Linked DNA regions of Elephas maximus indicus. The protein of the gene in region 4 purifies or fractionates together with the protein of the main gene of each other region. This does not show direct contact. Links are inferred from orthologs where the notes say so. Each region holds a gene or a part of one and is shown on either strand. Other genes may lie near its edges. The genes, in order: KPNB1, CHD8, RNMT and KPNA6.

Region 1 (7,983 bases), on a different chromosome or scaffold from region 4:
TATAAAAAACTCAACTGTAATCCTACCATCCAGGGACAGCCATTATTAACACTTGGTTTATACTTTTCCAGTCTTTTTTCCTATTCACGGATACACAGATAGAACTCAAGCTCCTTTTCTTTGAACAAAATAGGATACTCTCCCCTAAGAGTATGGCACCGGACGCCCTTTCAACTCAGTACTGAAGTCACCCCTGAGGTTCACCCTTCAGCCAAAGGCTAGACAGGTCTATAGGAAAAACAATAACACACGTAGGAATGTGCTTTGTAGTTCAATCATGTATATGAGACTAATGGGCACACCAGCCCAAAAGCAAAGATGAGAAAGCAGGAAGGGTCATGAAAACTGGATGAATGGAAGCAGGGAACCCAGGGTGAAGGGGCGAATGTTGACACATCACAGTGTTGGCAACCAGTGTCACAAAACAATATGTGTATTGTTTAATGAGAAACTACTTTGCTCTGTAAACTTTTACCTGAAGCACAAAAAAAATTAAATTAAATTAAATTAAAAAAAGGAGAGGAAGAAAATTAACACTAACTAAGAATTAACCTTTAATTTTAAATTACCTCTGTATTTCGGCTAAGACTTTTGTTAAAACATCAAATGATTTTTTTTTAAATCAAGTAGCTAATTTAAAAACAAAAAACAGGCACTCTCTATGTATACTCTGCAAGAATTTTTATTGGGTTGGTATAAAAAAAAAATTTTTTTTTTTTTTTTTATACCTAAGGAGCCCTGGTGGCACAGTGGTTAAAGCATTCGGCTACTAACTGAAATGTTGGTTGTTCATATACCCACCAGCCACTCCATGGAAGATGTAGCTGTCTGCTTCCTTAAAGATTTACAGCCTTGAAAATCCTATGGGGCAGTTTTACTCTGTGCTATATAGGGTCGCTATGAGTTGGAATCGACTCGAAGGCAAAGGGCTTTTTTTGGGGGGGGGGTAGGATCACTATGTGTTGGAATCAAATTAACGGCAATGGGTTTAGCTTATACCTAGCCAAGTGTGTAAAATGTTGATGAATTTTTAACATATGAATCTACAATATTATGATGTTTTCTAAACAAGAGTGTGAACATTTTATACTTGATTAAATGACCTTTGACAGCATAATTTTTAACTGCTAACTAGAATTACAACAGTTGATCATAAGAATGTACCATAATTTATTTAATGAATCCACCATTGTTAGATATTTCAGTTGTTTTTAATTGTTAACTACTGTATTAGTTTACCCTGGTGGCGCACTGGTTAAGAGATTGGCTGTGAACCAAAAGGTCAGCAGTTCAAATCCACCTATGGAAATCCTATGGGGCAGTTCTACTCTGTCCTGTAGGGTCGCTATGAGTCAGAACTGACTTGACGGCAATGGGTTTGTTTTTTTGGTTTTGGTATTAGTTTTCTATCGCTGTTGTAATAGTTTACCATAACTTTAGCGACTTAAAGCAACACCAACTTGTAGTTCCGGAGGTCAGAAGTTTAATATGGATAGGTAGGGCTGAGTTCCTTCTGGAGGCTTTATGGGAGAATCTACTCCTTGCCTTTCCCTATTTTTAGAGGTTACCTGCATTCCTTGGCCACGCCTCACCCTGACCTCGGCTTCTGTCATCACAGAGCCTTCTCTGACTCGGACTCTCTTTTATGAGGACATTGGGTCCACCAGGATAATAAGTGATAATTTTACTATCCCGAGATGCTTGACTCAATCACATCTGCAAAGTCCCATTTGCCATGTAGATTAACATATTCCCAGGTTCCAGGGATTAGCACATGGACATCTTTGGGTGGTTCCAACAGTTAACATGCTCAGCTGCTACCTAAAATGTTGGTGGTTTGAGTCTACCTAATGGTGCCTTGGAAGAAAGGCCTGGTGATCTAATTCTGAAATATTGGCTATTGAAAACCTTATGGAGCACAGTTCTACTCTAGCACACAGGGGGGTCACCGTGAGTTGGAATTGACTCAACGGCTACTGGTTACTGGTAATTCAGACTACCCAGACCCAGTGCCGTTGAGTCGATTCCGACTCATAGTGACCCTATTCAGACTAGCACAACTAAAAATAATGCACTCTTCTATTTGTTTTCCTACCTCTTGCTGTTCTTTCTCCCTCTTATTCGTATTACCCACTAGTTTGGAACTCCATGTCCTCTCTTAAATATTTTGCTTTTCTCTCTCTCTTTATAGGATGTCAGGGTCTTAATGACCATTTCTGATCAACTGACTTATTTTTTCTTCCCCAAGCACCTGCCTTTCTTCCAAATCCCAATACAGTTTCCCTTGAATGTCCCTCTGTGACCATAAAGACAAACTATTTCTAAAACTGAATTCTTCAACCATCTCCCCCACCTTGACCCCAACCTCCTGCACCAACCTAGCTTCAATAAATGTTTTTACAATTATCCACTCTCCCAAACATTCAAGCTGGAGATCTAGGACTCACCTTTCATCCTTCCCTTTCCTCTGTATCTAATCAACCACTAAACCCCATCAATTCTATTGATTCAACATTTCTCTAATTGTTCCTCCTGGCCTTAGTTTGTGAGGAGCCCTGGTGGTGCAGTGGTTAAGGTGATTGACTGCTAACCAAAAGGTCAGCAGTTAGAAACCACCAGCGGCTCCAAGGGAGACAAATGGGGCAGTCTGTTTTGGTAGAGGTTTACTGTCTTAGAAACCCAATGGGTTAGACTATGAGCTGCAATCGACTTGACAGCAGTGGGCAGGGGCCCTAGTTCAGTCCCTTATCTATTACCTAATAACTGTTGCTATAGTGTAGTAGAAGCCTTTCTCCTAATCAAAACATACCACTTATTTCAAGGTAAGGGGGTATTATCCTGTCCTCGAGAAAGCCCTCTGTGACTGCCCCTCCCTGGGATACCATCTCCCCCTCCACAAGAAGTAATCCATAATGAAGTGCCCACTATGTGCTTGAGTTTTTCAGGCTGCATTATTTAATTTAATCTCTGCATTCCTTTAAGGTATTCTTTTAATGTTTAGACAAGGTAACTGAGAAGCTAATATGGGGTCGCTATGAGCCAAAATCGACTGGACAGCAACTAGCAACAACTTTAAAAATCAATGTGCCCTCAGTAGTATTATCATGACTAATGTTGAGCAGAGGAGCTGGCACAGAAAACTGCTGGAGAGCTGAAGAAAATTGGCTTGCAGTGAAACAAAATTATAGCTCATTCATAGTGTAACCCCAAAAACCCATTGCCAAAGAGTCGATTTCGACTCATGGCGACCCTATAGGACAGGGTAGAATTGTCCCGTTGGGTTTCTTAAGCTGTAATCTTTACAGAAGCAGACTGCCCCATCTTTCTCCCCTGGAGCGGCTGGTGGGCTCGAACTCAAGGACCTTTCAGTTAGCAGCCAAGTGCTTAACCACTGGAGCACCCAGGCTTCTTCATAGTGTAATTCACGTAAAGACAATTCAAAGATTTCCATGGATGTCATCTCACTTAACCTTCATTGATTTCTAATGAAGTTACGCAGGCCAGTTCTTTCTTAGTTAATAAAGTAAAAGGTTGGAAGTAGGTGGACTATTAAACCATAGGAATCAGCTAGCTACAGTATGCCTCATTTCCAGCTTCAGGATTGCAAAGGTATATCTAGCACAGAAAAATTTCTTCTTCCTCTTTTAAGGATCAAAGGCAGCTGGCCAAGCTTTCCTAATACTTGGTTGGGACCCCTCAGCATGAATAAGACTTCTGCCTAGGTTTTCCCAGTGTGGCTAGAAAAAAAAGGCTAGAGTAGAGAGCAAATACCTCACAAACTCCAAACAGCTACAGTTAACACTATCAGCAATACGGTGAAAAATGCAAAAGCTGAGCAATCTGTTAACTTGGGGCCCATTATCAATGGGAGGTGAAGTCAGGAAACCGCACGCAGTTTCTTTCTGTGCATTTTGCTAAGGAAAGACTTTCATTAGTTTCTCCCAATGTCCTAACTAAAAAAGGCTAAAAACCACAATCCTTTATGCCTGTTCACACATTCCTTCTGGTTCACGGTTGTGCCTTTATTGGGACACCTTTGGAGAATGATATACATTCCTATTCAGACTGGGTTCTAAGAAGAATCCAAGTGCCCACATCTATTGGAGTCAGGCCTTCTAACTGGACGTATTAGCATTCACCTTCTTGGGGAGGATGTTGCCGGCAGGGCCAAGGGCAGTTGGGAGTGCTAGAAAGCAGTCCGGACTAGGCCATTAACGGGCTGTGTGACCTTGGACAAGTTCCGTGCCCTCTCTGGTCCTCAGTTTCTACAATTGCAAATTGGAAATTGAACCAAATGGTCTCTTAAAATCCTCCCCAACAGAAAGCCTGGTACTAAATAGGCCTAGTTATTAAAGCAGCTTCCTGTGGACGCGGTACAGGGTTTTAACGGTCTCCCTCCCAGGCTCAGACCCGCCAAGTCCTAACTCAACACGCCCCTCGGAGTGACGGCGCTTTCCAAAACCGCAGCCCGAAGCGGCCCCAACACTGCTCCGCCCCTTCCCGGGGGCGTCCCATCGTGCCCCGCGCTAGGCCCCTAAAGCGGCCAGGGGCCTCCCGCCTTTCCGCGGAGTCGACCCCGAACACCTCTCTCCAGTTCTCCCGAGCACCCCAGTCTATCAACGTCTAGTGTCCTAGCCAATCACCCAGGCTCGGAGTCTTGCCTTTGACCCACCCTCCTCCTAGCGGTCAGCCAGTCTGAGCCCACGGCCTTTGCCAGGCCAATCCAATCAGCAGCCGGCTCAGACCTGCCCCACCCCAACCTCCCTTCCCTCGGCCAATCCGCATGCCCCATTCCGCTGCCCGCCCAGCCAACCCGGTCCTTGAAACCAGCGGGCGAATCGGCGCAAGGCGGCCCTTCAACGCTAACCGCCCGGCCAATTGGGGATTCCGCGTGGCCACAGCGGCAGCCAATCGACGTGGAGCGCGGTGCCGCGGCGGAGAGGTCCGGCCCGAATATCCCTCCGCCTCCCTCTCTCCCTCCCTCTCCCTCCCTGCGAGCCGCCGTTCACTTACTGCCTCCCTTCCTTCTTTCTCCCTCCGCCACCCGAGCACCAGCCGCGGTCTGAGCTGCCCCCGGGGTTCCTCCCCCACCGCCAGAAGAGCAGCTGCCGTCGCCGCGAGCCGCACATTAGAAGGGAGGAAGGAAGGAAAGAAGGAAGGAAGGAAAGGGGGCCTGAGTGACTAGCAAGTGGGAGCCGGTGAATGGGCTTGTGGTGACCCCCGCCCCCCACCCCACCCTCCCTTCCCACCCGACCCCCAACCCCCAACCCCAGTTAGAGTCGCCGCCCGAGAGGCCGGACCGTCGTCTTAGGAGGAGTCGGCGCCACCACCTTCGCGATGGAGCTGATCACTATCCTCGAGAAGACCGTATCTCCCGGTAGGACGCGGGGGCCGGGGGGTCGGGCCGAGGCGACTTGAAGTGGGGGAGGGGGAGGCCCTGCCCTTCTGACCCTGTCCCCTTTCCCACTTTCCTTCCCCCTAGATCGCCTGGAACTGGAAGCGGCGCAGAAGTTCCTGGAGCGTGCGGCCGTGGAGAACCTGGTGCGTGCCACCCTGCTCTCCCCCATCCCGCCGTCTTCCCATCTCCTGCGTCCGGGGCCTTCCCGCCCTCCCGGAGGCCCAGGCCTCGGGAACCTACCCCGCCCCATCCCGTCCCCCTCCCCCCGCACCCCGGTCCAACCTAACCCCGCCATCGGGAAGCCGGTGGGTGTGTCCCGCCCCAGGGCCCGGCGACTGGCCAATGGCGCAGCGCGCCGGGGTGACTGCCGCCCAATCGCCGCGCGGCCTGAGGGCGGCGGTGCGGCGGGAGGGAGAAAGAGGGAGGAAAGGGAAGTTAGGTTGCGCGGCGCTGCGTGTTCAGCAAGGGTGGGGGTGGGGGAGCCGGGCCTAGGGGCCATGTGGAAGCTCCGAGCCCAGCTGCCAGCCCTGTTCGGACCTGTGCTGGCTTCTCTTTCCTGTCCCGTGGCCTCTGGGGTTCTCTCCACTTACTTCCCAGAGCTCTGCCTTTTCCTAGCTCCCTTGGTCTGTGCTCATGGCTAGGGCTGGCACCCGAATGCCTCTTAACCCATTCCCGTTAATATTTCTTCCTAGTATACTCGGTTCTTCCTCTCCTGGGTTTTTTTTTTTTTTTTTTTTTCATTGATGAGCAGAGACTTAATCAGTAGGGATTTGCACCCAGACAACAGGCTGGAGCTTATCTTTGAGAAGATCGGGCCTATTTCCTGATGAAATCACAGAGGAAAGTTCCTCGTTTTTCATGTTTTCAAATTTAAAAGGCACAGAAAAAATGAAGATAAGCCCACTAGAGTATAAAGTCTGGCCTGCTGTATAAAAATGATTTCAACAGCCCATGTGCCAGTTAACGTTTCTCTGGTTTTCCTCTCCTGTTGTGGGAATGGGAGGGAGCATAGGGAAGGGTGGCTGATCCTTGACATCTTTTAAAGGTAATAAGCAATGTGTTGGTAACACTGTAACAAAATGTGTTCCTTTGAGTTTTCTAGGCAAAATAATGTAAGCAAAAAAAAAAAAGACAAGGCTTATTTTGTGCAGACTGCCAGTGGATGATGTATTTTGTTCTTATAATTGCTGGTTTTTATTTTTTTACTCTTATGTTTTTTTCTTTTTTTTTAATCTTTCCCCAGGAAAGGTTTTTTCTATTAGTATAGACTGATAACATTCCATAGGAATATATTCCTGTTTCTGCTTTTTATCTTATTTTAAAAATATTTTTTAGTGGTACAACATTTTAGTAAGACTTTTTTTTATTAATTGTGCTGTAAGTGAAAGTTTACAAATCAAGTCAGTCTCTAATATGAGAATTTAAATACACCTTGCTATATAGTCCTAATTGCTCTCCCCCTAATGAGACAGCACACTCCTTCCCCCCACTGTCTCTCTTCGTGTCCATTCGGCCAGCATCTGACCCCCTCTACCCTCTCATCTACCCTCCAGACAGGAGATGCCAACATAGTCTCACGTGACTACTTGATCCAGGAAGCTCATTCTTCACCAGTAGCATTTTCTATCCCATTGTCCAACATTAGTAAGACTTAAGAATATCTTCTGCCGTGACTAGAATTTCAGGTGCCAGGCAGTACTTGATAGTGGAAGAAACTGTCTGCTTTTGGCTTTTTCTGTAAACTTTTCCATTTGGACAGAGCTGCTTTTTTGGAGGGGAAGGGAGCGTGTATGTTAAAATTTTTAAACAAAGGGGGTAGCTTTTCCTAGGGGACCTGTGCATTACAAAAGATCGAGTGTGTCTTTCAGGGCTTCACTATGTTTAGTGCACAACTTAAGTCCAAAATGTAAAGCAGCTTTTATTTAATCTGTTAACTGTTAAATACAAAATCAGTTACCTTGGAACAACTTGCCTTGACTTTTCTTATCTTTTCCACTTAACCTTCTAAATATTTATGAATTCTTCCTTATAAATCTGCTTTTTCCACTGTTCCCCTTTCGCAGATGTAGCCTTATCCGCACTGTAACTAAAATATAGAGGATAGGCTTCTAAGTCTGTTTTAGGACTATTGATAAGTATTTCTCTTTCTTGTTCAAGATTTACTTTCACTAGTCCAAAAGCTACCCTTGGTATCTTTTTCTGACTGAGGTTTTTTTCTGACTGAGGATACTAAGTGACCTGGCCCAGTCAGCAGAGCTGGCCTGAATATTTGAAAATAGTTTTACTTTCTACCCTGTTACAACGTATTCATTCATTCAACAAATATTTATTGACTATCAGGCACTGGTGTAGATGTTTGGGATATTTCAATTGACGTGGAAGAATCCGTTGGCTACCAGATTGCCAGATTTGATTTAGTTCTGGAGATTTAATGTAAAGATTTGGCCATTAAGAAAGGTTTGCTAGGAAAATCTACAACTTCTTGTAAGTACTGTTTGACATTTCATGAGAAGATGGGTGACTTTAATAGGTACATTTTGGGGAATTATCTGAGACATTTATGATTTGCTCAAAAAAAAAAAAAA
Region 2 (7,109 bases), on a different chromosome or scaffold from region 4:
CTCGTCCCCCTATTTTAATTTCTAAAACGTTAAGATCAAAGCTGATAGTCACTGTAGTCCACAAATAAATTATTTTATAAGCATACCCATTCTGCTCCCCAACAAGAATTAGTAACAAGGGTCAAGGATGTTCTGCTTCATCGCTTGAGAATACTGGGATTTAGTGAGCTGTGGGTGTTAGATCCCCTGCCTAGAAATTTCATTGATTTTTTAACTTACTTGCCTTTGGGGGTCCAATTGCCACTTCCTGAGGGATCTTCCAGAAGGCAGTTCCTTCTACCTGAACTGCTGAAAGATGCTCAGTACTTTTCTAGACCATCCCATTTCTAGTTTCTGTCCCTTAGAGTGACTAAAAAACTTTTGAGAGCAGTGAGATGGTCCTGGACCTATGACCACTTATCATTAACTAAAAAAAATATTCTTTCACTGCTTGTTTTGTTTCAGGGACCAGACCTAACATCGTAGTGTCTTTCACCAAACAGACTGCTACTATTGCATCATACTCACTTCTTACTAGACAATTTAAACCTCCTAATCCAACCGAACTAATCTGCTTACTGGACATGATATATTTACTCCCACTTCCATGCCCTGGCTCGCACCCTACTTTCTGCTAAAATTATACCCAAAGTCTAAAACTTTTTCCTTCAGGAAGACTTCTGTGACTGACTTAGGGACTTCTAAGCAATTATTGACATGGTATCCCTTTTAGGCTCCACCTTTCTTATACTGTTTATATTTATTTGTATTAATGTTGTTTTACAAATATGTTTTACAGTTGTTTTATGTATAGGATCTGTCTCCCCATGTAGTTCGTAAGCTCCTGTCATTCCTTCAATTTTGTAAAATCTCCACGCCCACCACCATTCCTTCACAGAGCCCACTGCTACATTCATTACATGATCATTGAATTTGACTGACTGACTTAAAGAGTTAGAACAGGTTTATTTTAGACTTCAGAGTAAACAAAAGGCCTTAGAGTCATCCCTTTGATAACTTTGTTTCAATCTCTTCTATCTGCTTACCCTAGGTCCCATATTGCTCTTTTCCTTCTCTCTTCCACTCTTCCTAGGACCTCTGCCTCCATTCCATGCAGCATACAGTAAGGCTGCCTGTTTTCAAGCTGTCAGCATAAGTGGATACTTACCAACCATTCTCCTTTTCAAAAGCATATAATACTATCCTAGCAAAATTTGCTTTTGCTTCATTCCGCACAAGGCCTTCTAGGTCACTTGCTATATCTTCTTGCCTTGATTTCCCACTCTGTTCCACAACACTGAGGTCTCATGAATTTTTCTAACATTTTTGTTGTTGATCAATTGTATCATTACTGTGTGTATGCATGTATCCAAGCTGCTCATATGTACATGTCATTTCTTATTGTATCCCAAACATAAGTAAATAATCTCCTCCTAAGGAATTTTATCAAAGTTATTGATAAAGCTTCCTTCTAACTCCCATATTCAGTTTTATTATCCAAGCCAACTTATAACCTCTGTACTTGGGCATTTCACCAATTGTAAGGGAAACACGAGAAACAGAAGCAATTTCACAGCCTGTGCTGATCATTGCTGATGTTAAGTGAAGTGACATTGAAGAAATATCGTAGAAGGTGGATCTCCCACCCCATGTGAAGAATGGTAATTATGAGATAATCTGAGTATTGATTTTTGAAGGCCAGCACCATTGGAAATCAAACTAACCCCCCCAAAACCAAACCCACTGCCATTGAGTCCCTTCTGACTCATAGCGACCCCATAGGGCTTCCAAGGCTGTAAATCTCTATGGAAGCAGACTGCCACATCTTGATCCCGCAAGTGACTGGTGATTTCAAATTGTTGACCTTTCAGTTAGCAGTCAATCACTTTAACCATTGAGCCACCAGGAGATCATACCAGTTACAGGAAAAGATCATTGCAAGTAGCTGAAATTATTGGACCAGGCACATTCCCTATCTATAATACCTGTAACTAGTTCTCTGATGATGGGTCCATTTTGTACCAAATAACATTAGAAGGATAATAGACTCTCATTCTAGAGACTACTAATAAATAAGATCATATCTATATATTCATTGCAAACACATTGCTATGGTAAATCCTAACACCAAACTCAAATTTGGTATAACGACAGCAGTAGCCAGGGGAGAATTTGGCCAACAAACTTTGTTCAATATACAGGAGAACTTATTTGGTCAACTCTTATCACCTCTCTGATAAAAGATTGAGTCATATGACTCTAAGGTTTCTAAGCTCCTACCACGGATGACCATGAGACTGTGTTATTCTTTGAGAGAATTCTTTTAGTGACCTGGAGGGACTCCTTTTGCTCACCAAAAAAAAAAAAAAATCAAACCCATTGCCATGGAGTGATTTCGACTCATAGCGACCCTATAGGATAGAGTAGTAGAACTGCCCCATAGAACTTCCAAGGAGCGCCTGGTGGATTTGAGCTGCCGGCCTCTCGATAGCAGCCATAGCACTTAACTGCTGTACCACCAGGGTTTCCCCTTCACTTACAGGCTTAAAAAAAATAAATAAATAAAGACTTTTTGTAGTGAGTTGTAATAAGATTTAGACTGAGAAATACTGGAAAACCAGTGTCACTCAGTGCAAGAAAATTTCACTAACAATGAAATCATTTCCTCTCCGATTTAAAAGCAGCCAGTAGAAAATTACTTCCTCCAGCCAGTGCTTCTATGGCCGGGCTGCCCCCTATGGTTACTCCATACTTTGGACTCAGAATGGAGGTTAGGGCTTTAGTTTTTTTTTCCCCCCTTCTCCTTTAAGGCTTCTAGTGCAAGAAAATTTCACTAACAATGAAATCATTTCCTCTCTGATTTAAAAGCGGCCAGTAGAAAATTACCTCCTCCAGCCAATGCTTCTATGGCCGGGCTGCCCCCTATGGTTACTCCATACTTTGGACTCAGAATGGAGGTTAGGGCTTTAGGTCCCCCCCACTTCTCCTTACACATAGTTTCCCGTTTAAGGCTTCTAGTGCAAGAAAATTTCACTAACAATGAAATCATTTCCTCTCCGATTTAAGAGCTAAAAAAAACTACCGCCGTCGAGTCGATAGCAGCCAGTAGAAAATTACTTCCTCCAACCAATGTTTCTACGGCTGAGCTGCCCCCTAAAGGACCGTCTTGTCCCTACACAGAGTTTTTCGTGTAAGGCTTCTGTCTTTTCCATTGTATGCATGCACAAGTAGTTGTGGTTCATTGATGAATTTGAGGCCATTTTTCTTTTTTTTTTTTAATTGAAAATTTTTCCAGCTCTTTATTTCCAACTGATTCACAACCCTCTGTGCTGTCAAAGTCCGAACACTGGAACTGTCAAGTCAGAACACTGGAAATTTTGCAAGAGCAGCATAAGATTTAGAAGCATCTAGAATAGTTTTTTTTTTTTTTAGAATAGATACATAACCTATGTTGGTTATGTGCTGATGCTCTGAGGAGTGAGGTGTCTATAAAGGATTATTCCAGGAACTGGGAGCACCCAGTCTCATCTGAAGAATTGGTTTTTGCTTTCAATGGTAAAATTGCTTCACTTGTGCAGTTAAGTGGGAGGGTGATACGGTTGCTTCTAACCATATTCGGCATTACAGAGTCTCTCCCCTATAATGATTGAGGTTACATCCTGATTATATAAAGGTGAGAATGTTGGGGCTGGTCCCGAGTAGTCGGGTAAAACGTGGAAAATGACTTCATATTGCTCAAACACTCCTTCCCTCTCCCCGCCCCCAAGGCACCAGCCTGAGCCAAGATGGCTTCCTAGACACAGGTAACTAAATGTTTTAGTTTAGAGCGCCCCCAACGGCCGGGGTCTAAAAAAAAAAAAAAAAAAGATGCCGAAAGGCCTGAGCGCCTGTGAACTGAGCCATCAGAGACGAGCTGCCGCCAGATTTTTATTTTCAATCAGGCATATCTGTGGTTGCCTACGTACCCTTCCCAGCCTTTTAGGACCTCCCACTCACAGGAGACTTCCTGGATGGCGCTCACACTACCATGCTGGAAGAGGCCGGGCTTCAGCCTTGCCATTGGTGGGTGGGAGGGCAGGTGGGCGGAGCCGAGGGAGAATGGACTACTAGCAAGCTCGGTTGAGACGAGAGCTGGCCATGCTCCGCCGGAAAGCGCCTTGTTCTCCGAAAGGGTGAGTTGAAACGGGGCTGGAAAAGAAGCACCAGGACTTGTTCAGGTAGGCTTCCCGCTCACATGGACTTCTCAGTGCTGCTCCACGAGTCCTAGCAAAAGCTAAAGCTCTTAGAATTAATTTCATTAACTCATTATCCTCCTTCCGCTCCCGCCCCCCGCCTGTCCCCCACTTGTGAGGAATCAGGTGTTGGGTGATGCTCTGGACTGAACCATTCTTCTTTGTGAGAGGCCAGGGGAAGAGGGTGCCTGCGGGCCCGCGGGGCCCGAGTCCGGCCAACCCGTGAGGGGCCTGCCCGGGCCGCTGTTGCTTTTTTAAGGCTTGTCATTGCATTACTGGGCGTGGTATAGATTTGAGGCAGCTCCTTGTTCTCCTTTCTCCTTCAGGGGAGGGTAAACTCCCCGACTCTGTTTGGTTACTCCATACTTTGGACTCAGAAGTGGGAGGTTAGGTTTCTTTTTCTCCCCCCCCGCCCCTTTTTTTTAAATAATAGAGGTGAGTAAGAAAGCATAGGGTGAGCGTGCGCAGGTTGCTGTACATTCTTAGGTACAATTTCTGTGGGTCTTCTGGGAGAAAAGGGCAAGCTGTTGGAGTGTGTTTAGACATGGTGGGAAGAGAGGAGCGCAAGCCTTGCATCTCCTTTGACACATATGCAGAGTTCAGTGGGTTTATGGTGCATTATGTAAACTCTCCCCAGGCAGAAGACCCCTCTTCTTGCCTCGGGGCAAATGCAGTTTCTTTATTTACCTGTGTGTAGTGTCGCAGGGAATTTCTCCGCCCAGTGCAGCGGCTGTGCAAATGCAGCAGCCTCTGCCTTTTTTGGAGCAGGCCTGAAGTGATTAAGGTCTTCGAAGAAGACGTACACACACACGTATATTTAGTGATCCAGTCTCATTTCAGTGATTGGGCACGGTGAGCCAGCCAGTAGTCAAAGACTTGGAATTCAATGTCTTTTTTTAAAGAGCAGATATAGGGGAGCACACCAAGTACACAGCCAGAGGCGTTGCATGATCAGTGTCTGCTGCAGGCCTTCATCACACCAGCATGGGCGGATCGTTTAATCTCCTTGTTGCTCTGAGCCTGTGAACTCAGTCAGAGACTCACTGACTGTTTGGGTTATCCTTAGCAGCAACTGAGGTCCTATCTGGTGCAAGGCACTTTAGATACTAGAAGGTGAGTTTGTGATTTGGGTAATGTCCTCTGCTAGTTGTTTAGATGATGACTTCTACTTATGCATTTCTTCTGCCTTGGTCACCAGCTAGATTTCAGAATAAATTGCAGTCAGCCTCGAAGGGCCTGAGTATGGGAAGCTCCCCATTCCTAATATTTTGGAATGATCCCACCCCTTGAGAGGGGAAAAAGTTATGATAAGAAAAACGATAGTTGCCATTTAAGAAGATCTATGTTGCAAGAGTGGCATGTCATGATGAAGAACAGTGGCCAAAAAGAGATAGGCACAGGCTTGGAGGAAGGTTTAAAACTGAAATAGCAAAGGAGTAATGGATTGGGATAAGGCATTTGATGGAGCAATATATGGGTACTTGTACAGTTCACACCTTCTCCATGCTTTAATCTAACCTGTGCATATGGCCTTTGGTTTTATCACTTCTCAAATTAACAAAATCCATTTAAATACTAGATAGAAAATGAATCTGCCGAGCTGATCGTGACTTACCAGGAAACACAGATCTTGTGTTTCCCAGGGCAGCCTTCTCTGCAGCATTGCTGGGTGATGGGGTGGAGAAATCTTGGCATTATCGTAACCACCACTGCAGAGCTTTAGTTGAAATAGGAAAAAATTGACATTTTATGTGAAGGGTTGAATTTCTGAGAGGTAATGTAGGATGGTGAGGGGGAGCATTCTTTAAAATAAGCCACTGTACACATCTCCCACCATTTAATATTAATTTGAGAGTCCCAAGAACTGTGCTTGTTTGAAAGAATGAGGTTTGATATTCTCATCTGCAAGAGGATTGTAACATTTTCAGAGGTGAACGCTAAGTGCTTTGGAGATACTGTTTGTCCACAGGCCTGGAAGAGTTACGCTATCTTCTAACCTTACATTGAGCCTAATTAATACTTAGGGGATTAACAGAAGACACATTTTTCTGGACCCTCAACCTCCACCTCTAGAAGTCATTTCACTTGTGGACTTGCATTTGAGTAAGATTTGAGTAAGTCCTTAATCTGCAGGTCACTGCTGTAACTGACCTAGTATTTACTATTTTACCTTTAACATTTGATTCATTGACAGACTATCATGTTTCATATCTTACTCAGTTTAATTTCTTATATTTCCTCTTTAATTTTTTATTCTTTTTCCCCACAAAGTTGGTGGTCCTCCTTTCACTCTACTGTTAAATGTTCCTGTTCACTTTGCTTTTTGTGTTAATTCACTGACATTGCACTTCTTTGCCTCTGTTTTGCTGAGGCCTTTCAGAGAATGTAAAGAGACCCTAATTTCCAAGATGTTTTTCTTTGATACCGAGTATTTGCATTTCTATATGAGCAAGCTGTTCTATGAGCCACTTTCTTTTGCTTAAAAGCTTACTTACCATTAACTGAACACTAAGTTTTTTCCTGAATAACCTTTTTTCTCTCTTAACCTCTAACTTTTGTTTTGTGTGCTATAATTTAATTCTTTTTTTGTGTTTTCTAACTATTTCGTATTGCCTTTAAACTTTCCATTATATTTTTATTGACAAAATAAGTTTACCTCTTTGTAGTTATGGAGTATTTTAGATTTAAATTACAAAGTATGTTAGTCCCTGAGATTTCTCATTAGATTGTTTTGTAAGTAACTTACTTCTTTAGTCCTTTTATTGCCCATTACTTTCTGTCCTTCGCTATAGGCTCTTGGTTAATGCCTGATGAAACAAAATGGTCAACTTTAAAAGATCTTAGTTCTTGTTTTCAGATTACATCAGGAGACTTTAAAAAATAACACAATTTCTACCC
Region 3 (7,791 bases), on a different chromosome or scaffold from region 4:
GTTATAATGTAGTTTGGTACTCATATGATGACATGATGTTGGTAAAACTGGATATCCCTTTGCAGAAAAATGAAACAGGATCCATACCTCACACCAAACACAAAAACTAACTCAAAATGGATTAAAGACCTAAATATAAAACCTAAAACTATAAAGTTCATGAAAGAAAACACAGGGACAATGCTTGGGACCCTAATTTATGGCATAAAGAGACTATCAAGCGTAATTAAAAAGGTACAAACTTCAGAAGATAAACTAAATAACTGGAACCTCCTAAAAATTAAATACTTACACTCATCGAAAGACCTTTCCAAGTAAGGAAAAAGAGAACCTACAGACTGGAAAAAAATCTTTGGCAACAACATATCTGATAATGGTTTAATCCCTAAAAAATACAGGAAACTTCAATAACTCAACAATAAAAAGACAAGTAACCCATTCATGAAATAAGCAAAGGACATGAACAGACACTTCACCAAAGAGGACATTCAGGTGGCCAATAAACACATGAAAAGATGCTTGTGATAGATGCAAATCAAAACCATGATGAACTATCATTTCACCTCTGCAAGAATGGCACTGATCAAAAATTCAGAAAACAATAAATGCTGGTGAGGTTATAGGGAGACTGAAACTCTCATATACTGCTGGTAGGACTATAAAATGATACAACCGCTATGGAAAATGATACAGTGCTTCTTTAAAAAGCTAGAAATATCATGTGATCCAGCAATCCCACTCCTAGGAATATATCCTAGAGAAATGAGCCGTCACACGAATAGACATATATGCACACCCATGTCCATTGCAGCATCATTTACAATAGCTAAAAGATGGAAACAGCCTAAATGCCCACCAACAAATGAGTGGATAAACAAACTATGGTACATACATACAATGTAATACTACGCAACGATGAACAACGATGAATCCACGAAACGTCCCACAACATGCATGAATCTGGAGGGCATTATGCTGAGTGAAATAAGTCAACCACAAAAGGACAAATATTGTATGAGACTGCTATTATAAAAACCCAAGAAAAGGTTTACACACAGAAATAAACAATCCTTGATGGTCATGAGGGAAGGGAGGGCTGGGCAATGGAAATCACCAACTAGATAGTAGACAAGCGCTAACTGGTAAAGGAAAAGACAATACACAATACAGGAAAAGTCAGCACAACTTGACCAAGGCATAGACACAGAAGCTTCCTAGACACACAGAAACACCCTGAGGCACCAAGTTACTGGGGCTGAGGACTGGGGACCATAGTGTCAGGGGACATCTAGGTCAAATGGCATAACATAGTTCATGAAGAAAATGTTCTATGTCTGACTTTGGTAAGTAGTGTCTGGGGTCTTAAAAAAGCTTGTGAGCAGTCATCTAAGATATATCGCTTTGTCCCATCTTGTCTGGAGCAAAAGAGAATGAAGAAGACCAAAGACACAAGGGAAATATTAGTCCAAAGGACTGATGAGCCACATGAACTACAGCCTCCACCAGCCTGAGGCCAGAAGAACTAGATGATGCCCGGCTACCACCACTGACCACTCTGACAGGGATTACAATAGAGGGTCCCAGATAGAGTGGGAGGAAAACATAGAAAAAACTCAAATTCACAAAAAAAGACCAGACTTATTGATCTCATAGAGACTGGAGAAACCCCCAAGACAATGGCCCTCAAACACCCTGCTAACTCAGAACAGAAGCCAGTCCTGAAGTCCACACTCAGGCAAAGATTTGACAGGCCATAAAAGAAACAACACGTGAGAAACGTGCTTTGTAGATCAATCAAGTATATGTGACCAAATGGGCAACACTTGCCCAAAAGCGAAGACCAGAAGGCAGGAACGGCCAGGAAAACTTGACAAATGGACATGGGGAACCTGGGGTGCAAAGGGAGAGCGTGCTGATGCATTGCGGGAATTGCAACAAATGTCATGAAACAAATTGTGTATACATTTTTGAATGAGAAACTAATTTGCTCTGTAAACTTTCACTCAAAGCACACATGCACACACACAAACAACAAAAAAAAAAGCACTGAATTGAAATAAATTCAGTATGTCCTAAAAAACAAAAACAAACAAAAAATGGATTTTTTTTTAAACCTTTCTTGGAGATACAGTAACTCAATGAGCACCTACTATGTGCTAGGCAAAGTTCAAGGCACCTTGGATAAATCACTGAACGATGATACTGCCTTGGTGGAGCTCACATTCTAGCAGTCATAACATCCTTCCCCAGCTATTTTCTTTGAACATAATAATCCAGGCATTAAGAAGGACCAAAATGTGTTCTCAAAAACCACTCTGGCAGGCAACTGCCAGTTTGTGGTCTGGCCTCTGGCAGGCCCCAGCTCCTTATTAGCACAGAGCCCTGTCTCTGGAGACGGAATACCTGGGCCCACCTCCTAGCTCCACTACTTACTAGCTGTATTACCTTGTACAAATTACTCAATCCTCATCTGTAAAACAAAAATAATCAAAGCAATTACCTCACTGGATTACCTGACACATAGAAGGCACTAAGGTACTAAAACAAAAAAACCAAACCCATTGCCATCGAGTTGATTCCAACTCACAGAAACCCTACAGGACAGAGTAGAACTGCCCCATAGGGTTTCCAAGGAGCAGCTGGTGGATTTGAACTTTTGGTCAGCAACCAAGTTCTTAACCACTACACCACCAGGACTCCAATAAGGTACTAGCTGTTGCTATTATTATTATCGTATCCAGAAAGTTAAAGACTACTCAGGAAATAATGAGTGAAAATAACTGGTGGTTTTAGACATTTTATATGGCCCATTTACTCCCTCCATTACTACTACTTTCAAGCGTTCTTCCTCTTTTCCACTAAATTTAAATTATTCCAGCAAACTCTGGTAAAAAACTATCAAACTTGATGTCTATACATCACATTCAAAACAACAATTCATCTTGGAGTTTCTTGAACACAGAGAAAAACTTTTAAGTCAAAATTAGACTCATTTTCCCTAAAAGTAAGTAATTTTAGCATCAGAACTAGCAAATATGAGCTATGTAATTGCCTAATTTTAATGCCTGGACATGTAAATAGTAAATTCATTAGGCCTTTGATGTTGTTCATGAGCTGACGTTAATTCTCCACCTGACTCACTGCATATAATAAAAAACACAGGTGCAGTCATCTGAAACGGTTCATCTACTTGATAAAAACAGTCCTCATTCTCGGTTCAAAGTCTGAGCTAATCTCAGAAGGGTTAACGTCCACAACTTAGAAGTAACTAGATTGAAAAGTACATAATGCAAATCTTGCCTTTCCCAAAGTAAAGAAAAAAAAAAAAAAAAACCCAAACCCGTTGCCATCTAGTCGATCCTGACTCACAGCGAACCTATAGGACTGAGCAGAACTGCCCCAATAGGGTTTCGAAGGAGCGGCTGGTGGATCCCAACTGCCGACCTTTTGGTTAGCAGCCAAACGCTCTCAGGGCCCCTCCCCCAAAGCAAAGCTGGTAGCGCAGTGGTAAGAGCTACCGCTGCTAAGCAAAAGGTCGGCAGTTCGAATCCACCAGCCGCTCCTTGGAAACCCTATAAGGAAGTTCTAATCTGTCCTATAGGGTCGCTATGAGTCGGAATCATCGACTCCATGCAACGGGTTTTGGTTACTTACAAGGCAGGCTACTAACAGTTTCAAAGCTGCTTTTAAGGGAATCAATTTTGATTAAAAATAGTTCAAGATGGATTGCAAATCTGATCAGGTTTTTGCACCATTAAAGTGGAAAGGTGCCGGGGTACAACATTAATAGGCACACACGATAACAACGTCTTACATCACATGGACAGTTTTGACCCTAATTATAGGGTTGAAAGTCCTTAACTGTGGAGCTTTGAGTTTTAGTACAGAAGATGCCTTTGATTGTCCAGGGGAAATCTGAGGGAATAGACAAAGTGTGTTGTCCTCCAGCAACCACCCCACACGAAATCCTAACCAACACACAGTAATATGCTTTTATGCGTTTCACAAGAAGCGGTATACCCATTTCTCCAGAGTCCGTCATGATAACGGCCTCCCTGGAATGAAGAATGGCACGGCTTCCCAAATACGGAGGCAGAAAATGACCTGCCAGTCATTGCTCTTTTTAAGTCAACTCCAAGGGCACAGGCCCTTCTTCAGCTGGGAGGAGCAGAAGGCGATGGGTTACAGAGCAGGAGGCTGAGAAACAGGCCCGTGATCCTTCTCGGCTGGCACGTGTGGGGCCCACACGTGCAGGTGCCCCGCGCTGGCGCTGGCGCTCACCGGGCAGTAGGCCAGGCTCTGTCCTGATCCCCACCACCTCCGCAACCCCCACCCGGTCGCGCGCCGCAGGGGCCCTCCTCGCCTCCCGCTGCCCTGCGATGTGGGCCCAGGCTACCTCCACGGACGGCGGCGCCGCCGCGCAGGCCGGGCGACAGCTCCTTGGATGCCGCAAGAGTGCCACTCCTCAGCGCTGACCTTCCCGCCTCCCGGCCGAGGCCTGGCGATGCGGGTCGGGTGCCGTGCCCGCGGCTGCCGCGGTTCCTCGCCCTCCACCACCGAAGTCCGCAGCCACGCCCCCACGACGAGCGCTCGGCACGCTGGGCCTCGTAGTCTGGCGCAGAGGCAGCGGGAAGTTCCGCTGTGGCCCAGAGCGACGGCACGTGACCGGTCGCGCGGCAGAAATGACGTCACAAGGACCCAGCGCGCCGTTCGCAGTTTCCGGAAACAGAATTGTGGATACCGGTTCTGGTGAGTGTAGCGGCAGAAGTTCCGGCCCTTGCTTTCTCCTCGTCGTAGGCCCTGCGCGCCGTGGCGGAGGTAGAAGGGCACTCAGTTCCTACCCGGGCTGGCTTCGCGTTAGCCCTGTGCGTTGAGTTCCTGTCTCGAGGGGCTTATTGTGCCCTCAAGCCCAAAGCAGAACAGGTACCACTCGTGGAGGCCGACAGGCGCAGTTGCTGCTCAAGACTGAGGGAGGAACCAGGGCCGCGCCTTTTCTTCCCATTTTACGCTAAGAAGATTTGGAAAAGACTTAATGGTTATTAAGCTGATTCTATTTTTCTTAGCCGAAGGAAACGGAGTGTTGTATTCGAAATAGTGTTTCTTTTGAGCGGCGGATCCGAAACCCGAGCAGGAGGTTAAGAGTATTAGGCTGCGCAAATGATGGAAGGAGGTGCACTTGCTGAAAAATTCCCTTGTCTCCTTTACTGCATGCTCTTGAGCCCCCTGAGTTGACTCCATCAAGCTGTCAGATCCTGGGTAGACCTCCTGCTTGAGCTTAAGCCTGGCGGCCCTGGTACCCTGCTCAGACGTTCACTGAGAAACTGAAATGACGGAGAGATGTGGCTTACCTCGAAGGAAAGCCTGATCTAAACGCCTATTTGGAGGTTTATTGCATATCCAGTCAGTTGACTGTTTACTCTAAGCTCCCTCCTCGAAAGTTCTGAGGGACAGCTCTCTTCCTGTTTGGAGTTTGTTCATTATTGTAATTTGACGCTCGGTTTTAAACATTCTTATCCATTTCTGCGGTCGTTTGGAATGCTGTCTCATTGGTTCTGACAGAATCGGTTATCTTTTCGAGACATCTAATCTGTGGAAATAGAGTTGCACAATATTGTTGTAAATATAAGTACAGTTCGCGCTTAAATCTCAATACTAATTTTAGGCAATACAGTTTCAGCCAAAAAGGTGTATCAGATGGCTTCATTTGAATTTAAAACCTGTGTGTATATCTTTATTAGAAAATAAATGGAAGAAGTGAAGATAGGGACTTGATAATGTGATGGTCAGTTGTACTAGATGATCATGTTGGTTAGTTCTGCATAGTATTTTTTGGAGTGTTTTTTTGTTTTTGTTTTCTCTGATCAAGTTCTCTGTATTTTGGTACCTGGATATTTTGCTACCTCAAACGGTGGATTGTTTTTGATGGTTACTATTGAGTGGATTCCAACTCATGGCAACCCCATGTGTGTCAGAATAGAACAGTGCTCCAGACGGTTGTCAAGATCTTTCAGTAACAGATTGCCAGGCCTGTCTTCCGAAGTGCCTCTGGATGGGTTTCAACTGCCAACCTTTCGGCTAGTATTTGAGTGTTTAACCTTTTGTGCGAACCAGTTTCCTTTGAAACCCTTCCCTAACTCAAGTCATAGTGACTCGTATTTCCTCATTCCCTTAAGCAACTTTCTTTAAATTGTTACCCTTTTTCTTTACTCAAAAGTTTTTTTCATTCCCTTCTTTATATCTTTCAGCTTCTGTGCATTTAATCTGAATTTGCTGAATCTCACTAATCTTTTGATTTTTTCCCTCTTTTCCATTTACTTTGAATAATATAGCCTAATGTTTTAATAGTGGTATGCAGGGTATAAACTTCTTGAATGCATAATTTTCACACAGTCCTTCATTAAATTCTTCTGTAGTGGAAGTTGAGTAAATTTGTTAACCCAAACCAAACCCACTGCCGTCGAGTTGATTCCGACTCATAGCGACCCTATAGGACAGAGTAGGACTGCCCCATAGAGTTTCCAAGGAGCGCCTGGCGAATTTGAACTGCCGACCTCTTGGTTAGCAGCCGTAGCACTTAACCACTACACCACCAGGGTTTCCAGATTCGTTAAATGAATGAATAAATGGAGCAATGTAACAATTCCTGTCCAATAGTTATTTACCTCTCCTGCCCATTTTACAGACAGGAGCCCTGGTGGTGCAGTGGTTAAAGTGATTGACTGCTAACCAAAGGTCAGGGGTTCAAAACCACAAGCAGCTCCAGGGTAGAAAGATGTGATGGTCTGTTTGCATAGAGATTTACAGCCTCAGAAACCCTGTGGGGTCACTACAAGTTGGAATTGATTTAGAGGCAATGGGTTTAATTTTTGGTTTCCTGTTTTACAAGGAGACCTAGTTAAGTGCTTGGCTGCTAACCAAAAGGTCAGTGGTTCAAACTCACCAGCTACTCTGCTGGTGCTTCTGTATAGATTACAGCCTTGGAAACCCAATGAGGACATGTCATAGATTGAATTATGTCCCCCCAAAAATGTGTGTATCAACCTGGTTAGGACATGATTCCCAGTATGGTGTGGTTGTCATCCATTTTGTGATTGTAATTTTATGTCGAGAGGATTAGGGTGGGATTGTAACATCACTCTTACTCAGGTCATCTCCCTGACCCAAGAAAAGGGGAGTTTCCCTGGGTTGTGGCCTGTACCACCTTTTATCTCAAGAGATAAAAGGAAACGGAAGCAAGCAGAGCATTGGGGACCTCATACCACCAAGAAAGTAGCACCAGTAGCAGACCTGTTCCTTTGGAAACAGGGTGCCTGTGCCTGAAAAACCTCTCCACCAGGTGAAGATTGAGGACAAGGACCTTCCGCCAGAGCTGACAGAGAGAGAAAGCCTTCCCCTGGAGCAGATGCCCTAAATTTGGACTTGTAACCTACTAGACTGTGAGAAAATAAGTTTTTCTTTGTTAAAGCCATCCACCTGTGGTACTTCTGTTATAGCAGCACTAGATGACTAAGACAGAATCTGGTACTGAGAGAGTGGGGTATTGCTCTAACAGATACCTAAAATGTGGAAGCAGTTTTGAAACTGTGAATGACTAGAGGAGCAGCAGTGAGAGAGGGCCAGCAGCAGCAGAGAACCTGCAGTGGCAAGGAGGTGGCAGTGACAGAGAACCAGCCGCAGGAGACCAGGGCCACACAGCGCTGGAGCCGACCCCCGGAGTGAGAAAGCTGAGTGCCTGTGCACAGGAGGCTTCCTGGTGGAGTGGGGTGCCCCCAGGCACTTATCGGTGGAGCT
Region 4 (6,964 bases):
TTATGGTTTCAAAATCAGTAAGAAATGCCTACAAATTTCCCTCCTATTCTTCTTTCCTCAGAGCTAGATTTTTGAGCTTGGTGTCTGATTGCAGCTGGCAGGTTTTTGTCAGTAGGTAAGCTCAGGGGTAAGTCCAAGAGAAAAGCTGCTTTTTGAGGGCAGATTTGGGGAGAGGGAAATGAACAAGGTGCTCTATGCTGTAGCCATCCTTCTTTTGCAGGAAGATTAATGATGTTCTTCATCTCCATGAGAAATAACTTTGTTAAACAGAATGGCTTTTTGTATATATACTCTGAATTTTTTCAGGCTTTATGGTGAAATCGAAACCCTGGTGGCGTAGTGGTTAAGTGCTACGGCTTCTAACCAAGGGGTCGGCAGTTCGAATCCGCCAGGCTTTCCTTGGAAACTCCATGGGGCAGTTCTACTCTGTCCTATAGTGTCACTGTGAGTCAGAATTGACTGGACGGCAGTGGGTTTGTTTTTTTGGTATGGTGAGATAAGTGTAGTCTTTTTATTTTTTAGGAGGGAGGTAAGATAATTAGCTTTAATTATGTATGTCTAGTAAAACTTCAGAAGTAACCACTAAGATTAAAATTCGCTGTATAAATTCCAAACTGGTAGAGAGGAAAATGTCATGATGATAAAAATAAACTGGGGGGTGGGGGGGAAGCTTAGAAAAATCTGGACAAGAGTATACAACCAAAAAAAAGGTGGTAGAAACAAGTCAAAACAAGTCACTTGCAGAAATCAATTAATACAGATGATCAGATTGGATTTTTTTTTAATTAAGCAATATGTGGTTTATATGAGACATACCTAAAATATACTCAGGTTGAAATTTTTAAAAATAGAAAAATACCCAGCAAGCAAATATTAACCGAAAGAAAGCTGGGATGTTACCTGTATACACATTTAAGGTTTTTAGATCTTCTTGATGAATTGATTATCATTATAAAATGTCCTTATTCATCCCTGTAGTAAGTATTCTTTGTTAACGTTGACCCTAAAGTGGGTTTCTTGTATACAACATATACAAGTGTCTTCATTTTATTGTTGTTTATTTTTTATTGTTACTATTGTTCTGACAATGAATCCTTTTTAATAGAAGTGTTTACACCATATTAATGTAATTATACATGTGATTGAGTCTGCTCTTTTCCTATTTGTTTTCTATTTATTGCATTTGCTCTTGGTTCTTTTTTCCCTCTTTACCTGCTTTTTTTTGGATTAATTATTTTTTATGTTTTCATTCTATCTCCATTCTCGGCTTATTAACTGTATTTCTTTGCTTTATTTTTTTAATGGTTGTTCTAAGGTTTGCAATATACATCTTTGTTATATCACAGTGTACCTTTAGATAATACACCATTTCACGTGTCTAGTAAGAACCTATGACACACTTCCATTTCCCCTACTCGTCTTTTTTGCTATTGTTGTAGATTTTATTTCTAGGTGTTAATTACACAAATCCCACAATTACATTATTTTTGCTTTAAACAATTATTTCTAATGCAATTTTTTTCCTAAATTTTATTTATTTTGTTGTTGTTGAGAATATACACAGCAAAATGTATACCAATTTTATTGCAGTTATTTTATATTTACTTCCATAGTCACCATTTCTGTTGTTGTTAGGTGCCGGCAAGTCGGTTCCAACTCAAGGCAACCCTGTATACACAGGACTGGGCAATGTTTTGCCATCTTCACAATCATTGGCTATGTTTGAACCTGTTGTTGAAGCCACTGTGTCAGTCCATCTCACATCTCATTGAGGGTCTTCCTCTTTTTCGATGACCCTGTACTTTACCAAGCATGATGTCCTTCCCCAGTAACTGGTCCCTCTCCTGATACATGTCCAAAAGTATGTGCGACAAAGTCTCACCATCCTTGCTTTTAAGGAGCACTCTGGCTGTACTTCTTCCAAGATAGATTTGTTCATTCTTCTGGCAGTCCGTGGTATATTCAATATTCTTCACCAACACTGTAATTCAAAGGCGTCAGTTCTTCATTGGTGTTCCTTATTCATTGTCCAGCTTTCATTTGCATATGAGGCGATTGAAAACACTGTGGCTTGGGTCAGGCACACCTCAGCCCTCAAAGTAACATCTTTGCTTTTCAACACCTGAAAGAGGCCTTTTGCAGCACATTTTCCCAATGCACTATGTCGTTTGATTTCTTGACTGCTGCTTCCATAGACGTTGACTATGGATCAAAGTAAAGTGAAATCCTTGATAACTTGAACATTTTCCCCGTTTATCACCATGTTGCTTATTGGTTCAGTTGTGAGAATTTTTGTTTTCTTTATGTGAAAGAGTAATCCATACTGAAGGCTGTAGTCTTTGATCTTCATCAGTAAGTGCTTCAAGTCCTTTTCACTTTCAGCAAGCCAGGTTGTGTCATCTGCATATTGCAGGTTGATAATTAGTCTTCCTCCAATCCTGATGGCTCTTTCTTCTTCATATAGTCCAGTTTCTCAGGTTCTTTGCTCAACATACAGACTGAATAAGTATGGTGAAAGGATACAACCCTGACACACACCTTTCCTGACTTTCAACCAGCAGTATCCCCTTGTTCTGTCCATAGGTATGCCTTTTGATCTATGTACAGGTTCCACATGAGCACAATTTTTTTTTTAAGTGTTCTGGGATTTTCATTCTTCGCAATTGTCTTAGCCATCTAGTGCTGCTGTAACAAATACTACAAGTGGATGGCTTTAACCAAGAGAAATTTATTTTCTTACAGTCTAGTAGGCTAGAAGTCCAAATTCAGAGCATCAGCTCCAGAGGAAGGCTTTCTTTTTCTGTCATCTCTGGAGGAAGGTCCTTGTCATCCATCTTCCCTTGGTCTAGGAGCATCTCAGCGCAGGAACCTCGGGTCCAAAAGACAAGCTGTGCTCTTGGTGTTGCTTTCTTGGTGGTTCGAGGTTCCCTGTATCTCTGCTCGCTTCTCTCTTTTATATGTTAAGAGATCCCCTCAAGACAAAATCCAATCTTGTAGATTGAGTCCTGCCTCACTAACACAATTGCCACCATCCTCCCTCGTTTACACACATTTTGGGGGGAACATAATTCAATCCATGACAGCAATGTTATCCATAATTTGTTATGATCCACACAGTGGAATGCCTTTGCATAGTCAGTAAAACAGAAGTAAACATCTTTCTTGTATTCTCTTCTTTCATCCAAGATCCATCTGCCATCAGCAATGATATCCCTTGTTTCACATCCTTTTCTGAGTCCGGCTTGAATTTTTGGCAGTTCCCTGTTGATGTACTGCTGCAAATGCTTTTGAATTATCTTCAGCAAAATTTTACTTGCATGTGGTATTAGTGATACCGTTCAGTAATTTCTGCATTCTGTTGGATCACCTTTCTTTGGAATAGGCACAAATATGGATCTCTTCCAGTCAGTTGGCTAGGTAGCTGCTTTCCAAATTTCTTGGCATAGACGAGTGAGCACTTCCAGCATCGCATCCATTTGTTGAGACGTCTCATGTGGTATTCCATGAATTCCTGCAGCCTTGTTTTTCGCCAAGGCCTTCAATGCAACTTGAACTTCTTCCTTCAGTACCGTCGGTTATTGATCATATGCTACCTCCTGAAATGGTTGAATGTTGACCAGTTCTTTTCTGTACAGTGACTGTGTAGTCCTTCCATCTTCTTTTGACCCTTCCTGTATCGTTTGGTGTTTTGCCTATAGAATCCTTCAATATTTAAACTTGAGCTTGAAATTTTTCTTTGTTTCTTTCAGCTTGAGACATGCCAAGCATTTTCTTCCCTTTTGGTTTTCTAACTCTGAGTCTTTGCACATTTCATTAGAATACTTTGTCTTCTTGAGCTCCCCTTTGAAATTTTCTGTTCATCTCTTTTACTTCATCATTTCTTCTGTTCACTTTAGCTAGTCTGCATTCAAGAGCAAGTTTCAGAGTCTCTACTGACAAATAATTTGTTCTTTTTTTTTTCCTTTTCTCTCTTTTTAATGACCCTTTGCTTTCTTTATGTATGATGTCTGTGATGGTTAAGGTTGTGTGGCAAGTTGACTGGGCCATGATTCTCAGTGGTTTGGCCGTTATATAATGACGTAATCACTTCCACGATGAGATCTGCTGTGAACTGACCATCAGTTGAAAGGGAGCTTCCTTGGTGTGGCTGCATCCAATATATATGGACTTCCTGGCAAAGCTTGCTAGCTTTTGCTCACTCTGGATCCTGCCTCTGGCTCATCATCATCTGACCACTGGTTCTTAGTACTTGAGCCAACAGCCTGCCTTCTGACCTGCCAATCTTGGGTTCATCAGCCCCTGTAGCTACCTCCATTAGAAGAAGCCTCCAGCCTCACACCTGACCCACTGACTTGGGACTTAACTAGCCTCTACAACCCTGTGAGACATTTCCTTGATATAAATCTCTCTGTTTCTACATGTATATGTATTTGTGTGTGTGTGTGTATATATATATGTATGTATATATCTACGCTTCACTGGTTTTGCTTCTCTAGAGAAGCCACCCTAAGACAATGTCCTTAATGTCATCCCACAACTTGTCTGGCCTTCAGTCATTTGTATTCAGTGAGTCAAATCTGTTCTTGAGATAGTCTCTAAATTCAGGTGAGATACACTCAAGGTTGTACTTTGCCTCTGGTAGACTTTTTTTATTAGTCATGAACTTCAACTTGAACATACAAATGATTGTCCTGCAGTCAGCCCCTGGGCAGTCCGCCCTTGGCCCCAGGGACCCAGTTGAGTACCTGCAACTTTTCAGAGGGTCCTGGAAGTGAAGACTGTTACCATAAATAATGTTGTTAGGTAATGTCCAGTCAGTTCCGACTCCTAGCAACCCTGGGCACAACAGAACAAAACACTGCCTAGTCCTGCACCATCCTCACAATCGTTATGCTTGAGCCCATTGTTGCAGCCACTTTGTCACTCTGTCTTTTTGAAGGTCTTCCTCTTTTTCACTGACCCTCTGTTTTACCAAGCATGATGTCCTTCTCTAGGGACTGATCCCTCCTGATAATATGTCCAAAGTATGTGAGACATAGCCTTGCCATCCTTGCTACTAAGGAGTATTCTGGTTGTACTTCTTCCAAGACAGATATGTTCATTCTTCTGGCAGTCCATGGCATATTCAATATTCTTCACCAGCACCACAATTCAAAGGCGTCAGTTCTTCAGTCTTCCTGATGCATCATCCAGCTTTCGAATGTGTGTGAGGTGATTGAAAACACCATGGCTTGGGGCAGATGCACCTTAATGTTCATAAATAATGCTAAGATATCATTAACATTTTCATTGTGTCTGACATTTGCACTGACACTGCAAAACAGTGGTGGGCAAAACTGCTGATGCCTTAGCACTTACCAAGGCAGTGACATCAGACTGTACCGGCCACTGGCCTTGATGATATTGAGCTTCTCCATCGTCTCTTTCCACAGATGTAGTCGATTTGATTTCCTGTTTATTCCATCCGAGGAGGTCCATGTGTGTAGTCACCATTTATGTTGTTGGAAAAAGGTATTTGCAATGAATAAGTCATTGGTCTTGCAAAATTCTGTCATATGATCTTCTGTATTGTTTCTGTCACCAAGGCCATATTTTCAAACTATCAATCCTTCTTTATTTTCAGTTTTCACATTCCAATCACCGATCATTATCAATGCTTCTTGATTGCATGTTTGATCAGTTTCAGACTACAGAAGTTAGTAAAAATCTTGTTTCTTCATCTTTGGTGTTAGTGGTTGGTGCATAAATTTGAATAACAGTTGTATTAACTGGTCTTCCTTGTAGGCATATGGATATTATCCTATCATTGACAGTGTTGTACTTCAGGACAGATCTCGAAATGCTCTTTTTGACCATGAATATGATGCTTTTCGTCTTCAGTTTGTCATTCCTGAAATAGCAGACCAGGATTGTCTGATTCGATACGGTCAGTACCAGTCCATTTCAGCTCAGGGTATCGGTCTACAAGCAGTCCATTTCATTGTTGGTAACTTCCAATTTTCCTTGATTCTTACTTCATACGTTCCATGTTCCGATTATTAGTGGGTATTTGCAGCTGTTTCTGATCATTTAGAGTCATGTCACATCAGCAAATGAAGGTCCTGAAGCTTTACTCCATCCACATCATTAAGGTTGACTCTACTTTGAGGAGGCAGCTCTTCACCAGTTGTTTTTTGAGTGTCTTCCAACCTGAGAGGCTAATCTTTGGCACTATATCAGACAGTGTTCTGCTGGTATTTATAAAGTTTTCACCAGCCAGTTCTTTCAGAAATAGATTGCCAGGTCCTCCTTCCCAGTCTGTCTTAATATGGAAGCTCTACTTAAACCTGTCCGCCATGGATGACCCTGGTGGTATTTGAAATACCAGCATCACAGCAATGCACAAGCCACCACACACTATGACAGACCAACAGACAGGTGGTTTTACTTTCAGCCAGTGCAGAAATAAATAAATAAGCCTTCCTTAGTAAAATGCGTGGTAGCACACAGTGGGAACTAAAAAAAAAGAGGATAATAATAAATAAGAAAGGAAAAAAAAACTTATTTGAAGATGATGTAATTCAAGCATTCAGTGTTTTGGAATTAATAAGAATTTAGCATGGTGTCTGGATATGAGATAAAGAGCAATTCTTTCCCCCCATGGCTCCCCCCAAAAAAAACCTAAGAATAAATCTAAAAGATAGAGAAGATCTTTCATGGAGAAAATTCTATGTCTTTATTGAAAGGTTTTGTTGTTTTTTTTTTTAATTTAATGGGAGAGACATTCATATTGTGTAAGGGCAGTTCCAATAGGATTTTCCAAGGGATTGACAATCTGATTGTAGATTTCAAAGGCTCAGGAAAAAACTAAACCACTCCCTCCTGAAGATTAAGATAGGAGGACTTGTACTTCCAGATGAGGAAAATTTTTTAAAAAGTATATTAATCAAGATAATACGATATTGGTGCAGGAAAGAAATTGACC

The links.
Region 1: the proteins of KPNA6 (region 4) and KPNB1 purify together in Homo sapiens (affinity purification with mass spectrometry; 4 studies listed by BioGRID and IntAct, with this or other methods). This does not show direct contact. The link is inferred for Elephas maximus indicus from reciprocal best matches to the Homo sapiens genes KPNA6 and KPNB1.
Region 2: the proteins of KPNA6 (region 4) and CHD8 purify together in Homo sapiens (affinity purification with mass spectrometry; 4 studies listed by BioGRID and IntAct, with this or other methods). This does not show direct contact. The link is inferred for Elephas maximus indicus from reciprocal best matches to the Homo sapiens genes KPNA6 and CHD8.
Region 3: the proteins of KPNA6 (region 4) and RNMT purify together in Homo sapiens (co-immunoprecipitation; 3 studies listed by BioGRID and IntAct, counting the BioPlex papers as one, with this or other methods). This does not show direct contact. The link is inferred for Elephas maximus indicus from reciprocal best matches to the Homo sapiens genes KPNA6 and RNMT.

The regions. Positions count from the first base shown.
Region 1 is NC_064837.1:45,774,274-45,782,256, reverse strand, and holds the start of KPNB1 (importin subunit beta-1), read left to right. Parts: upstream 1-4,973; 5' UTR 4,974-5,337; coding exon 5,338-5,377; intron 5,378-5,482; coding exon 5,483-5,541; intron 5,542-7,983.
Region 2 is NC_064828.1:31,812,923-31,820,031, reverse strand, and holds the start of CHD8 (chromodomain-helicase-DNA-binding protein 8), read left to right. Parts: upstream 1-4,089; 5' UTR 4,090-4,151; exon of another isoform or gene 4,152-4,196; intron 4,197-7,109. UniProt on the Homo sapiens protein: ATP-dependent chromatin-remodeling factor, it slides nucleosomes along DNA; nucleosome sliding requires ATP. Acts as a transcription repressor by remodeling chromatin structure and recruiting histone H1 to target genes.
Region 3 is NC_064829.1:7,451,135-7,458,925, reverse strand, and holds the start of RNMT (mRNA cap guanine-N7 methyltransferase), read left to right. Parts: upstream 1-4,666; 5' UTR 4,667-4,749; exon of another isoform or gene 4,750-5,035; intron 5,036-7,791. UniProt on the Homo sapiens protein: Catalytic subunit of the mRNA-capping methyltransferase RNMT:RAMAC complex that methylates the N7 position of the added guanosine to the 5'-cap structure of mRNAs. Binds RNA containing 5'-terminal GpppC.
Region 4 is NC_064821.1:73,062,965-73,069,928, forward strand, and holds the start of KPNA6 (importin subunit alpha-7), read left to right. Parts: upstream 1-3,929; 5' UTR 3,930-6,964. UniProt on the Homo sapiens protein: Functions in nuclear protein import as an adapter protein for nuclear receptor KPNB1. Binds specifically and directly to substrates containing either a simple or bipartite NLS motif.